Linked DNA regions of Arabidopsis thaliana. The protein of the gene in region 2 purifies or fractionates together with the protein of the main gene of each other region. This does not show direct contact. Each region holds a gene or a part of one and is shown on either strand. Other genes may lie near its edges.

Region 1 (5,318 bases), on a different chromosome or scaffold from region 2:
ATTTATGTTCTATTCATGTGACTAGAAGAATAACATCAAAACGAAAATCTATTTTTTTTTGAGAAACCCACTTGTTGTTGCCTCGCGCCTTGCAAACGTAACTAAGAAGACCCCAAAAAGATTTTGCACTCAGTAGCTGAAGTCGATAGATGGAGAGAAAGCAGAGAATTAGGTTTACTTGTGTAGTTGTGTTCTTGTAATAATATAACGTTCGGTAGTTTTTGTTTGCTTCTTTTTTGGCAGTGTCCCACATCGGTAGTTATTAAAGTTGTAATGTAATACTATATAAGGTATGAATATCATGGGGAACTTTGGATATAGTATCGTAAATGGGTCTAGGGAGGACTTAAAAGACTAAAGAACTATTAGTCCAATACTACTATGAAAAGTCACATGAACCTAAGAGATTTTTTTTAATCCAAACCAAATAGTAAATATAACAAAGAGAAAAGAAAAACAAATTTAACATTCAATTTCAATTTACTAGATTTTTTCAATCAATATAAAACTGTTTGAAACCAAACCGAATATTATTTGTTAAACTTTTTACTAAAACTAAAAACGAAAAAAGGGAAAAGAAAGCTCAACGAACAAAACGTCCAAAACCACTACCGTTTTTCTGTTGTTGTTAAACAAACACTCCCGTTTGTATAAAACCTCAAAAACCAAAACAGAAATGTTCAATAGAGCAATGGGGTTTGGGTTCAAGATCGGATCAAGATTCCGATTAGCCACCGCATTCACATGGTGCCTTCTCATCGCATCAGCGTGCTTTGCATACACCGCATCAGCAGCCCGGTTCGAGGTAAGAAACGAGATCTCCATATACCCAGGACGGAATCGTAGCCTCGCGATTAACTGTTGGTCGTCGAATAACAAATTGGGCACGCATGCTCTCAAACCAGGCCAATCCAAAAGCTGGTCGTTCAAGCCAATATTTATTAAGATACCGTTTTTCTACACATACTTTGAGTGCACGTTCTTCACCGCGTTTGGCTCGCCATTTGGTCAGACAGCAACGGTTTTTGCCGGGGAGAGATTATTCAGGTGGCAATGTGATAATCCGGATGAGGAAGAGTGCATTTGGGTGGTTAAGAGAGACGGGCTATATCTAAGGAGGATCAAAAGAGACAATAAAGGCCAAAGGCTCTATGGAGATGAATTGAGAATGGTTTGGATCGGCGGTACTAATTACCACCCTGTAAAAGAGGATCCATAATCTTTACACTTCCATGACCACTTCAGGATATATGTTATATCTCTATTTTTGTGTGTATGAAATGGATAACACGATACATAATCTAGAAGAAACAGAACAGCTTTTGTGTCTTTCCTTTATGTAAAGGTAGCAAATTTGAGATCAATCCACAAACAACTTCAACAGCGGAAAGAGAATGAATTCATCCGGACTAGATGATTACTTTTGCTTAAGCTCCATATTTTGGGGCTTTCCAAAGTTTGAAAGCAACTTCGTGGATGAACCGATCAGCCGGTATAACAAGATTTCCACAGAGCTATGATGAAAAGAGAGAAACAACAAAAAAATTAACCTTGAGACAAGAAGCCGTGACGTTTATTATAGCAGAACTTGCATTAAACAGAAACCATACCTTTTTGAGAGCTTCAAATGATAAGGTATCAACTAAGTCTTTCCGGGTCACCCCATGCTGCCACTGAGCTACCAACATAGGACAGTAGTGCCTGTAGGTTGCAAGAATGACCAAACCCGTCAAGAACGAAATGATGATTTCAGAAAAGTTCAAATCAAATTCTTTTGGTTTTGACAAAAATTCATCGAATCTCTTACCGAACATCATCCCGTGTCTTTTCACCTCGCATGGTGTAGCTCTGACGCGGGACAAGTCCTATAAATGCCGGGTTAATGTCTTCTTGTGGAGTCTTGATTGGAAAAACTGAAACATCTTTGTCTGTGACAGAACCATAGCTAAGAACGACAGACAGATGCAACCGCGATAGAATCTCTGAACCTGGTTGAGCCATTCCCATAATACTGCCAATCAAAGAGTCGAGAATTCCCATGTTGTTCCCGTTATTATATTCATCAACCCCGAAATGAACAAAAACCAAGTCATATAGGTTCACATCCAAGCACTTTCCTCCTTCAAATCCAAGCAGCTTTAGTAGTTTAGATGATGTGGCATCAGAAGGAAAGGAATCACTCTCTTGGCATATTTCACTAAGCTGTAATACATCTAAGCCAATCAGTTTTCCGAAAGAAGTCAGAGTAGAACTGTCCGTAACTAAAGCAGCTTTGAGTCCCATAAACCTGGCATTAAAGTAAATACTAGCATCAACATATGGATATACCAGCTATTGATTATCAAAGAGAGTATAAAACTATAGAGATAAGTGAAAAGTATAACCTTTCAGCCAAAGTTGAGATATCATTTCCATTTCCCTTTGGTTTTAGTCCACTCTATTAAGAAATCAGATCATGGTTCGTTAATCTCTAATTCGTGAATAACTATGTAAACACACTGAGATTGTTAAATATTTTGCCACAAAACTCGGCTCACATAGAAATTAATATAGTAGAGAGTAAAGTATCTCACAGCTATGGAATAAGCTTCGGATGCATCCAGCAAGTGGGAGAATTCTCGAACTATTCTTTCATTCTCAGTTTCTGCAATATTGAAACAGCAGAGTGAGTTAGATCAATAGCAAAATGTCAAAGCAAGGGCAATGTAACACAAGTGATCTCAAATCTTTGTTTCTTAAGCAATTGGGTCAATTGACACTGAACAAGAACTCTAAGTTGGCCAGTTAGATCAATTGTATACTGGAGTTTCATATTGGACTATTAAAAAAGTCACAATCGAATCCAAACGATATGGTTCAATTCTGATCAACACTAAGAAATCCTAACAAGTGAAAACCCTTAAAGTAGCGATTTTGACTGAAATTCAAGACGAATCAAACGAAAGTAACCAAATTTATGAAGAGATAGCGAGGGAGAGAGAAAGAGAGACCTGGAGGTGCATTAGGAAGGCTCAAGAAGCCACAAGTAGCGACGGAAGCAAGAGAATGGATGTTGGTATTTGACGGATCGACAAATCGAGCCAAGCCGTCTCCGTACAATATCAGTGATCTGCTTGATTTGTCCGCCATTGTTGTCAAAAGACGAATTGTCCGAGAAGAAAAAAACAGAAGCGAATATATATATTTTTTTGTCGTGAGGGGAATATATATATATATATATATAATATAATTTTTCTTTTTTTTTGTTTTTAATTTTTTAATTGACAGCGATTTTTTGGATAATTTTTGGGGACCATGAACTAAAAAAACACGTTTACAAATTTCACAGAATTATAAATACAGTGAAATCTATTTTTATTGGATTTAAATGATTACATGAAAAAGAGTCGCATTGAGTAATAATAAGTATGGCGTAGACATTGAGCTAAAGTTTTATAGAAATGGAAGATGTTTTGTCCTAATCGAAAATCAAATAACCAAGAAAGACCCATTCCATTCATTAATCTACCACATGGACATGGTGCAGTTGCTGTATATTACAAAGAAACAACACAACATTAAAAAGAAAAAAATCCGATAATTAATTTTAATACAGATATGTCGTAAATTGTACAGTATAGTCTTGTTATATGTAGAGAGCCTATGTATGGACTGTTTGTTGACCATTGCAACAATCTCACTTTCCCTCTCTCCCCACTTGCCCACTCCTCGTCCTCGATCGAGAGACTCGCGACGGTTCCGGTTCTTCTGCTAGACCGTTGCTCCAGTCCGGTTTAATCCAGAACCAGTTGTTCTGCCATGGTGGAAGGAAGAAGAAGAAGAAGATTCTCGCTCTCCTCTCAACAGCTAGCTCTCCTCTTACTTTTACTCTCCTTCTTCCTCTGCTTCTCCGTCGCGTCTCCTCGAGCTATATCTGATTCGGATCTACTGGATGAAACAGTCGCCAACTCCTCCTCTTCCGTCGCATCTCTCAACGCTTCTTCTTCTTCTTCTCTTGTTAAGCCTAAGGAAGGTAGCTTCGCCGACATCATCGATCGTGCTCTTGAAAAAGAGTTCAATGAAAGCGACCAGAATGAAGGTTAGTGTTTTTTGCTACTTTATGGAGCTTGAAATGGCCATTGAACAACTAGAATTCATTAGGTAGATCCTGAATTGGATCCGTGATCCAATTGAAAGTTCGGAACTTTAGATTGATCCCACATTCGTCTTTCCTTTTTGGGGATCTCCCAATGTGGAATAGTTTGCTTCTTCTAGATCGAGAATATTTACACAAACAAGATACATTTTTGTGATTGGTTTTCCTGAAATGGATAGTGAGTGTTTATCTTGTATTCTTACACTTTTACTCGATATATTATCTCCCAATGTTGTTATATTTGTGGCAGTGGCTGATCCTGGAAGCTTCAATAACAGTGTAGCTGGACAACAGGTTTGTTTTAACTTTTAATCATTAGTATATACTTGCTTCTGTTTATTATTCAAAGTTGGACAATTTCTAGGAAATTCAAGCAGTGTCAAAATCACTCCCAAGTCTTTTGTTTGAAAGTATAAGGCTTGCTTTAAGATTTGATCATTTCTCTCATTAATTGCATAGTTTGAGTATCTGAATGTGAGGTTGGTTGTTGTACCTTGTGGTGATCAGGCTGTTCTGGAAACTGTAGCCCGAGTAAAGTCGACCAAGAAAAATGAGACAAAAGAGGAGAAGTACACCATTCTATTATAGTTATCGTTTATATTTCTAAATCTTCCTTTGTATGACCTTCTTTGATGTTCTGGAATTGAAGACGTATTAAGCGTTATCTAATTTTCCATAGGCGTTTTCAACTCCATGATGTTTTCAACTTGAACAATGATAACAGAGCTGAGGACACTCCAACTCTCATTGATCGAAAAGTAAGTTTTTACACAGGAAGACTGAGTTTGGATTTGTTGCATTACTTCTTACATGGAAGTTTTGGCCTTGTGTCAGGACAATGTCTTCATCATATCCAATTCCAAATCAAAGTATCCAGTATTGCAGCTAGACTTGAGGCAAGATTCTTGGTCTTAAACATGATTCTTGAAAAAAAGACTATAATTTTCAATCAGTCATCTGATTTCTGCTTCTTATGGCATGTAGACTGATATCAGACCTGGTGGTTGTCATTGTATCTGCAACTTGTGGTGGTATCGCCTTTGCTTGTGCTGGACAGCCGGTCTGATTTTCGTGCTACTCTTATTCTCTATCAATATGACTTTATGTTTCAGTATGATGCATTTGTTTTCTGATAGCTATGACTCATTCTGTGCTTATGTAGGTGATAACTGGATATTTGCTA
Region 2 (5,511 bases):
AGGATTCACTATTCCTCGTCCCGTAAGTAACAAATTCTGTAGATTCTCTTTCTAAATTTTGTAACCAAAATGTTCACAATTAATCAATTATAGTAGTTTCAGCTTGGCTATGAATGCTCATAATTTAAATGGATATTAACTTTGCAGAGAATGCATGTATGGTTGAGATGGTTCACCTACGTGTGTCCCGGGTGGTGGGGGTTGTACGGACTGACGATAGCTCAATACGGAGATGTGGAGACAAGGCTCGATACGGGTGAGACGGTTGTTGAGTTCATGAAGAATTATTATGGTTATGAATACAACTTCTTGTGGGTTGTCTCACTTACCCTCATTGCTTTCTCTATGTTTTTTGTATTTATCTATGCTTTCTCTGTTAAGATTCTGAATTTCCAAAAGAGGTGAGAAAATTTAGGGGTGGGCATTTCGGTTTAACTTTGGGTTCGGTTCGGTTCGGTTCGGTTTATTAGGGTTTTGTAAAACTTTAATCAAACTCAACCGAAGTTAGTATGGTTTGGTTTGGGTCAATCTATATTTATTTGGCTTTAGTTCGGTTTGGTTTAAATTCGGTTTTAAAAACTAATCAATGTAACCAAACAAAATTATTTTGTTCATTTGTTTGAATTTTGAACTTGATAATAGTTAACTGAAGCAACAAGTTGTATATTTAAGTTTAGTAATTCAAATAAACCAAAGAAAAAAATAAAAATGCAAACAATTACATATTTAGTAATATACAATAATATTATTAATTAATTAATTAAATAAACACATTGGGTTATTGGTTGTGTTCGATTCGGTTAAATTGCGAACACCAATAACTCATTATCTACTTTGTTTGATAATCAATTATTCAATTTGTTACGAAAACTAGGTTTGTGTTACACTTTCAGCTTTTGGTATTTTTATTACACTTTTCAATATCCAAATTCTCAAAGAAAAATGCAAAACTTTTAAGTAACTCATACCTCTAGATTAAGAAAGTTAGTGATGACTCCCATCATTTCACCGCCATGGAAACGGCCAAGACATCCTCTTGCAGCTGCAACCTCATTCAACTCTGCAACTAAATCTCCACCAATTGCCAGAGGAGCTTCCCTCCTCCCACTCTCTTCCTCTTGTTTGGTAACATCTTCACCTGATTCCACAACCGTTGGAAGTGGAAAAGGGTCCAAAGACGTCTCTAGTACGGCTGATTCTCCTCCCACCGCGCTCACAAAGTCCCTTAACCGGCACATTGTGAATGGGACAGGCTCAAAGCTGTGGTCTCCATACTCAACAGGAGTTGAATGATCACCGGTCACACACAAGAAATACTGGTAATGTGTAGAAGACTCAGCTTGCCATAAAAGCTTAGCAAGCTGACGTATCGCCTTATCAACAGCTTCTAAACCTCGAACTTTGAACATTGTCGCCTTATCATGACCTGCATCATCTATAGCCTGCAACAATATAGAAATATGATCGAAAATCAGAGTGGAAATTTTTAAATTTTGTGTTAAAAGACTGAAAAAAGTTTTCACCTTTATGTGAAGGAACCCGAAATCATAACCATCTGACCTTCCTGGTTTATGCCCGTCCTCTCCCGGTACAAAGACATTAGGGCAGGGATTCAAAGGAGCTGAGAGAGCATTAGCTATAGCAGTTGCTTTCGATGTCAGAAGCGTCCGGTAATCTCCAGTAGCTCCCGGAGCTTCTAAAATGTCAATACCGAGCGACATACCAAGTCCAGCTATAATCTTTGTTGGTGCTACCATACATGGCCACAAGCCATGCTTCTCATGAAAAGGAGGTACCTAAATACACAAAACCCGTACATGAAGCAATTACATTAATTAACATCATTTCTACGAACGCAAGTAAAATAGTCAAACACACACCTCGATTCGAATACCACAACCACGTAAAAGAACGAGATTTGCAATATTCTTGCCTTGTGCAGCTCTCTCTGCGTTAACCGGGTGAGAAACAAGAATACGCGATATCTCTCTTGATAATTCGTTAACAACTTTAGCAGTGTGAGTAGCTTCTTCTGATTCATCTAAAGGTTTAGCTTCAAGAAGCAAACGATTATCTTTCAACGGATCAGTGCCAGATATATTCCCACTAAGTCTTGGCCCTTTAACAACAACACCACACCGATGTTCCGTCGCATATCTATCGAAAAAGAAACAAACTTTAGCCAAACAATAAACCACACAAAGCCATAAACACTAAGACAAACATTTTGCAACCTGACTCTCACTTCATACTCAGGGAAAGATTGAAGCTTTAACCCATCAAGAGCTGCACAAAGTATAGGACCTTCTTCTTCGAAATGTCGATCAGCTCTTCGACTAACAACAACTCCAGATTTCTCATCCAAAGTTGCAAAATTAGACTACATGGTAACAGAATGTTAAACAAAACCTATAAACAAACAAAAGAATGGAATACAAAATAATAAAACGCACAAACCTTGAAAGCTATATCACCAGGTGACATAGCTAAACCTGCACCCATAGACTCAAAAGCACCACGTCCACGGTAATATACTCTTGGATCATAACCCATGAGAGAAAGATGAGCAGTGTCACTACCACAACCTAAACCAACTTCTACTGGATCCATTAAACCGTTGATACCAGCTGATGCAATTGCGTCGAGATTAGGTATGTTTGCTGCTTGTAATGGAGTTTTGTAACCTAGTTTTGGTATTGTTACATCTCCTAAACCATCGATTAGAACAAAAGCTACTCTCTTTTTGACTTTTACATGATCTTGTTCCATTTTTTTTCTTTGATCAAATGGGTAATCTAGAAAACGAAAAAGGAAGAGACTTTATAATCTGATCGGGAACAAATTGAATTGAGAGTAAAGTATTTGCATGATTCGAAATTTGTTTGCTTACCTGAGAAACAGAGAAATGATCTTCAATTCAAAGAATGTAACTCTTGAGCATCAATGACAGATTGTTTTTTTTTTTAAGAATCTTTATAAAGGGGAGACGAATAAAGGATTTAATAGAGATTTAATCCAAACCGAATCAGAATATAATTAACCGGTTTAGATTGAACCAGCCTTCCGAGAGTTTGCGATTGGGTTTGGAACTTTTGGATATACGAATGATGGGCCATTAGCCCATTACCAAGTTTAAATACTTATTTTAGGCCCATAGCTTTTTTTTTTCATTTCAAATTATTATCGATCAATGAAAACTAATAAATGTTGTTTATAAACGTGATATGATGCGATTCGGTATAAAACTTTTGTGCCAAATTATTCGCTTTACTAGTTGACCCATAACTATTTTCTTAATTAATCATAATAAATAGATCAAATATATCTCTAATGAATAATGTACTTGACGACAAAAAGAAATATATAGTTTTCTTAGTTATTTTTCTCATAGTAATTTTAGTTATTTTATAATTGTATACTTGAAAACCATGTGGAAAAATGAATGTCGGTGTCTAACATTAATATGTCGAATTTTCTAACACATCAATAAAGCAAAATACATGTTTTAAATTCTAACGCATTCCACCGGGAAAATACATGTTTTAAGAAATATTTAAAATTTATTATTGAGTTAAAATGTTGATCGATTTAGGTTTCTCAGGGGCCTAGTATTAAGGCATGTTCGTTTAAGTGTCGTGCGACTATAACCAGCGACTGGCTTTAAAAACGACTGAGTTTTGTTTTTTTTTCCTCTTTTTTTTATAAAATTGGGATATGTTGTATAAATTTGTAAATTGGAGAAGAAGATAAACAGTAGTCCAGGTTTGTAAATATTTGAAAATGGCAATTTGATTTAAAAAATCTAGCGACTATCGTTACTTCAAAATTAAAGCTTGGGTTGTGTTGCTGATTTATCCAGCGACTCCAAATTCTTTAGATTTCAGTTGCAACGATAGAAAATAGGGGAGATGAAGAAAAGGTGAAGAACGGATGAAGGAGATGTAAAGGCAATATTTTGATTATCAGTCGATGTCGCTGCGATTACTGCCGAACAGGACCTAAGGAAACGAGTTTGGAACTCTACATATTCCAAGTATAATTTATCTGTTGTCTCAAATTCTAACACATGTTCTATGCATCTACATAGATATAAATATATATTTACGGTCCATTTTAATATTCAGAGAGAGTATCTATCCATAGACTCAAAGGCGGATTAATGGTATAAACAGGTGGAGCAAGTGTCCCATACACATTTTTTATAAATTAGCTAGTAACAAATATTGATTAGATTATGTAGCTCAGTTGGCTATTAAGTGCTCTATGTGATATCTTTGGTCATGGTTTGTTGGTTTTTGTTGTTGTACATTGAATGTATAGAAATGATAATAGATTTTTTCTGTTGTTGTACACATCTCTTTTTACTCCTCTTTATGTGATATTGCTTCACTTTGAATGACAAGTAATCTATACTTGTACCGGTGTGGCGCGATAGAGTTCGTCCTCAAAGCAAGGGCCAAAGGCTTAACATCTGTATCACTGTATGACAAGTAACAAATACTATTTTGTCTTTGTTTTATTAAATGGTCGTTTTAAAGTTTTAAAATAATCAACCTCTTTTGAGTAGATCTTTAAGAATGAAATCACTAAGATTTTTTTCCTTTTTACAAAGAATTAATTAATCTTATCAATAAAAGAATAAAAGAATGTATTAGTTGAATAATATATAGTTTTGGTCTTCTAATAATGTAAACCAATAAGATAAATACATTTATCAATAAATAAAATTTAAAAGAATGTATTAGTTGGATAATCATAATTCATGAATAGAGAAATCTTATCGCCTACCACTAAGATTCAACGACTAATTCTTTATTTTTGCTAATATTGACTAACCAAGCACCTTGCTCTCCACGTTTAGTTGTTAAAAGAATCCACCTAGTCGTTTAGTCAAATTTTATTCTTTAAAACCTCTAGTCATTATCAAGTTTCATTGAAGAAAAACGTTTTCTTTGATTCGATAGGGAGGACCAATTTGATCTGAGTTCGTGATCATTGCCTGAACTTTCCATGGATCTTGAAGCTGAACCCATCAGCACAAAGTGTTAGTATGTTGTGATGTTGCTGAGTTGTGTAGCTGTGACAGTTGGAAAATGGACACTCGGTCAGAATCACAACATATGCAGTGACAGTTTAAAGAAACATTCTGAGATAGTATTGAAGCTTGAAGATCATCAAAGTACAATCTACTAAGGTGAGTTTGAGTTCTAAAACACAGTAATAAAGGGGGAGAATGAGAGTATATTTGTAACTGGTTGTTAGACTCAAGATGATGACACACAGCTCAAGATATGAGATGATACAGACTGCACTACAACAAGAACGTGTGTGTGAAACATGGATGATACAGACACTGCTACAACAAAGGAGTTGACACAGAATGCAACAAGAGTTATGCAGACATCAACAAAGGTGTTGAGCAACAGAGGTATTGAGCATCAGATATTGTAAAGATCTATGTGATTGTGAAGCCGGAGTATCAAAAGAAAGTATCAGAGTTGTGTTTCACAG

The links. The genes of interacting proteins can lie anywhere in the genome.
Region 1: the proteins of AT3G30841 (region 2) and AT5G11810 fractionate together in Arabidopsis thaliana (co-fractionation; one large-scale study listed by BioGRID). This does not show direct contact.

What each region holds. Positions count from the first base shown.
Region 1 is NC_003076.8:3,806,550-3,811,867, reverse strand, and holds AT5G11810 (rhomboid family protein), read right to left. Parts: upstream 3,191-5,318; 5' UTR 3,130-3,190; coding exon 2,991-3,129; intron 2,645-2,990; coding exon 2,574-2,644; intron 2,438-2,573; coding exon 2,385-2,437; intron 2,288-2,384; coding exon 1,808-2,287; intron 1,702-1,807; coding exon 1,611-1,701; intron 1,515-1,610; coding exon 1,428-1,514; 3' UTR 1,220-1,427; downstream 1-1,219. Other genes in the region: AT5G11820 (Plant self-incompatibility protein S1 family), read left to right, coding at 677-1,219; KEA6 (K+ efflux antiporter 6), read left to right, coding at 3,799-4,078, 4,386-4,429, 4,643-4,704, 4,815-4,893, 4,970-5,031, 5,120-5,195, 5,298-5,318.
Region 2 is NC_003074.8:12,588,853-12,594,363, reverse strand, and holds AT3G30841 (Cofactor-independent phosphoglycerate mutase), read right to left. Parts: upstream 2,987-5,511; 5' UTR 2,891-2,986; exon of another isoform or gene 2,796-2,890; 5' UTR 2,770-2,795; coding exon 2,458-2,769; intron 2,381-2,457; coding exon 2,235-2,380; intron 2,158-2,234; coding exon 1,881-2,157; intron 1,797-1,880; coding exon 1,524-1,796; intron 1,443-1,523; coding exon 963-1,442; 3' UTR 813-962; downstream 1-812. Other genes in the region: ABCG38 (pleiotropic drug resistance 10), read left to right, coding at 1-22, 148-405; AT3G30840 (uncharacterized protein), read left to right, coding at 5,338-5,428.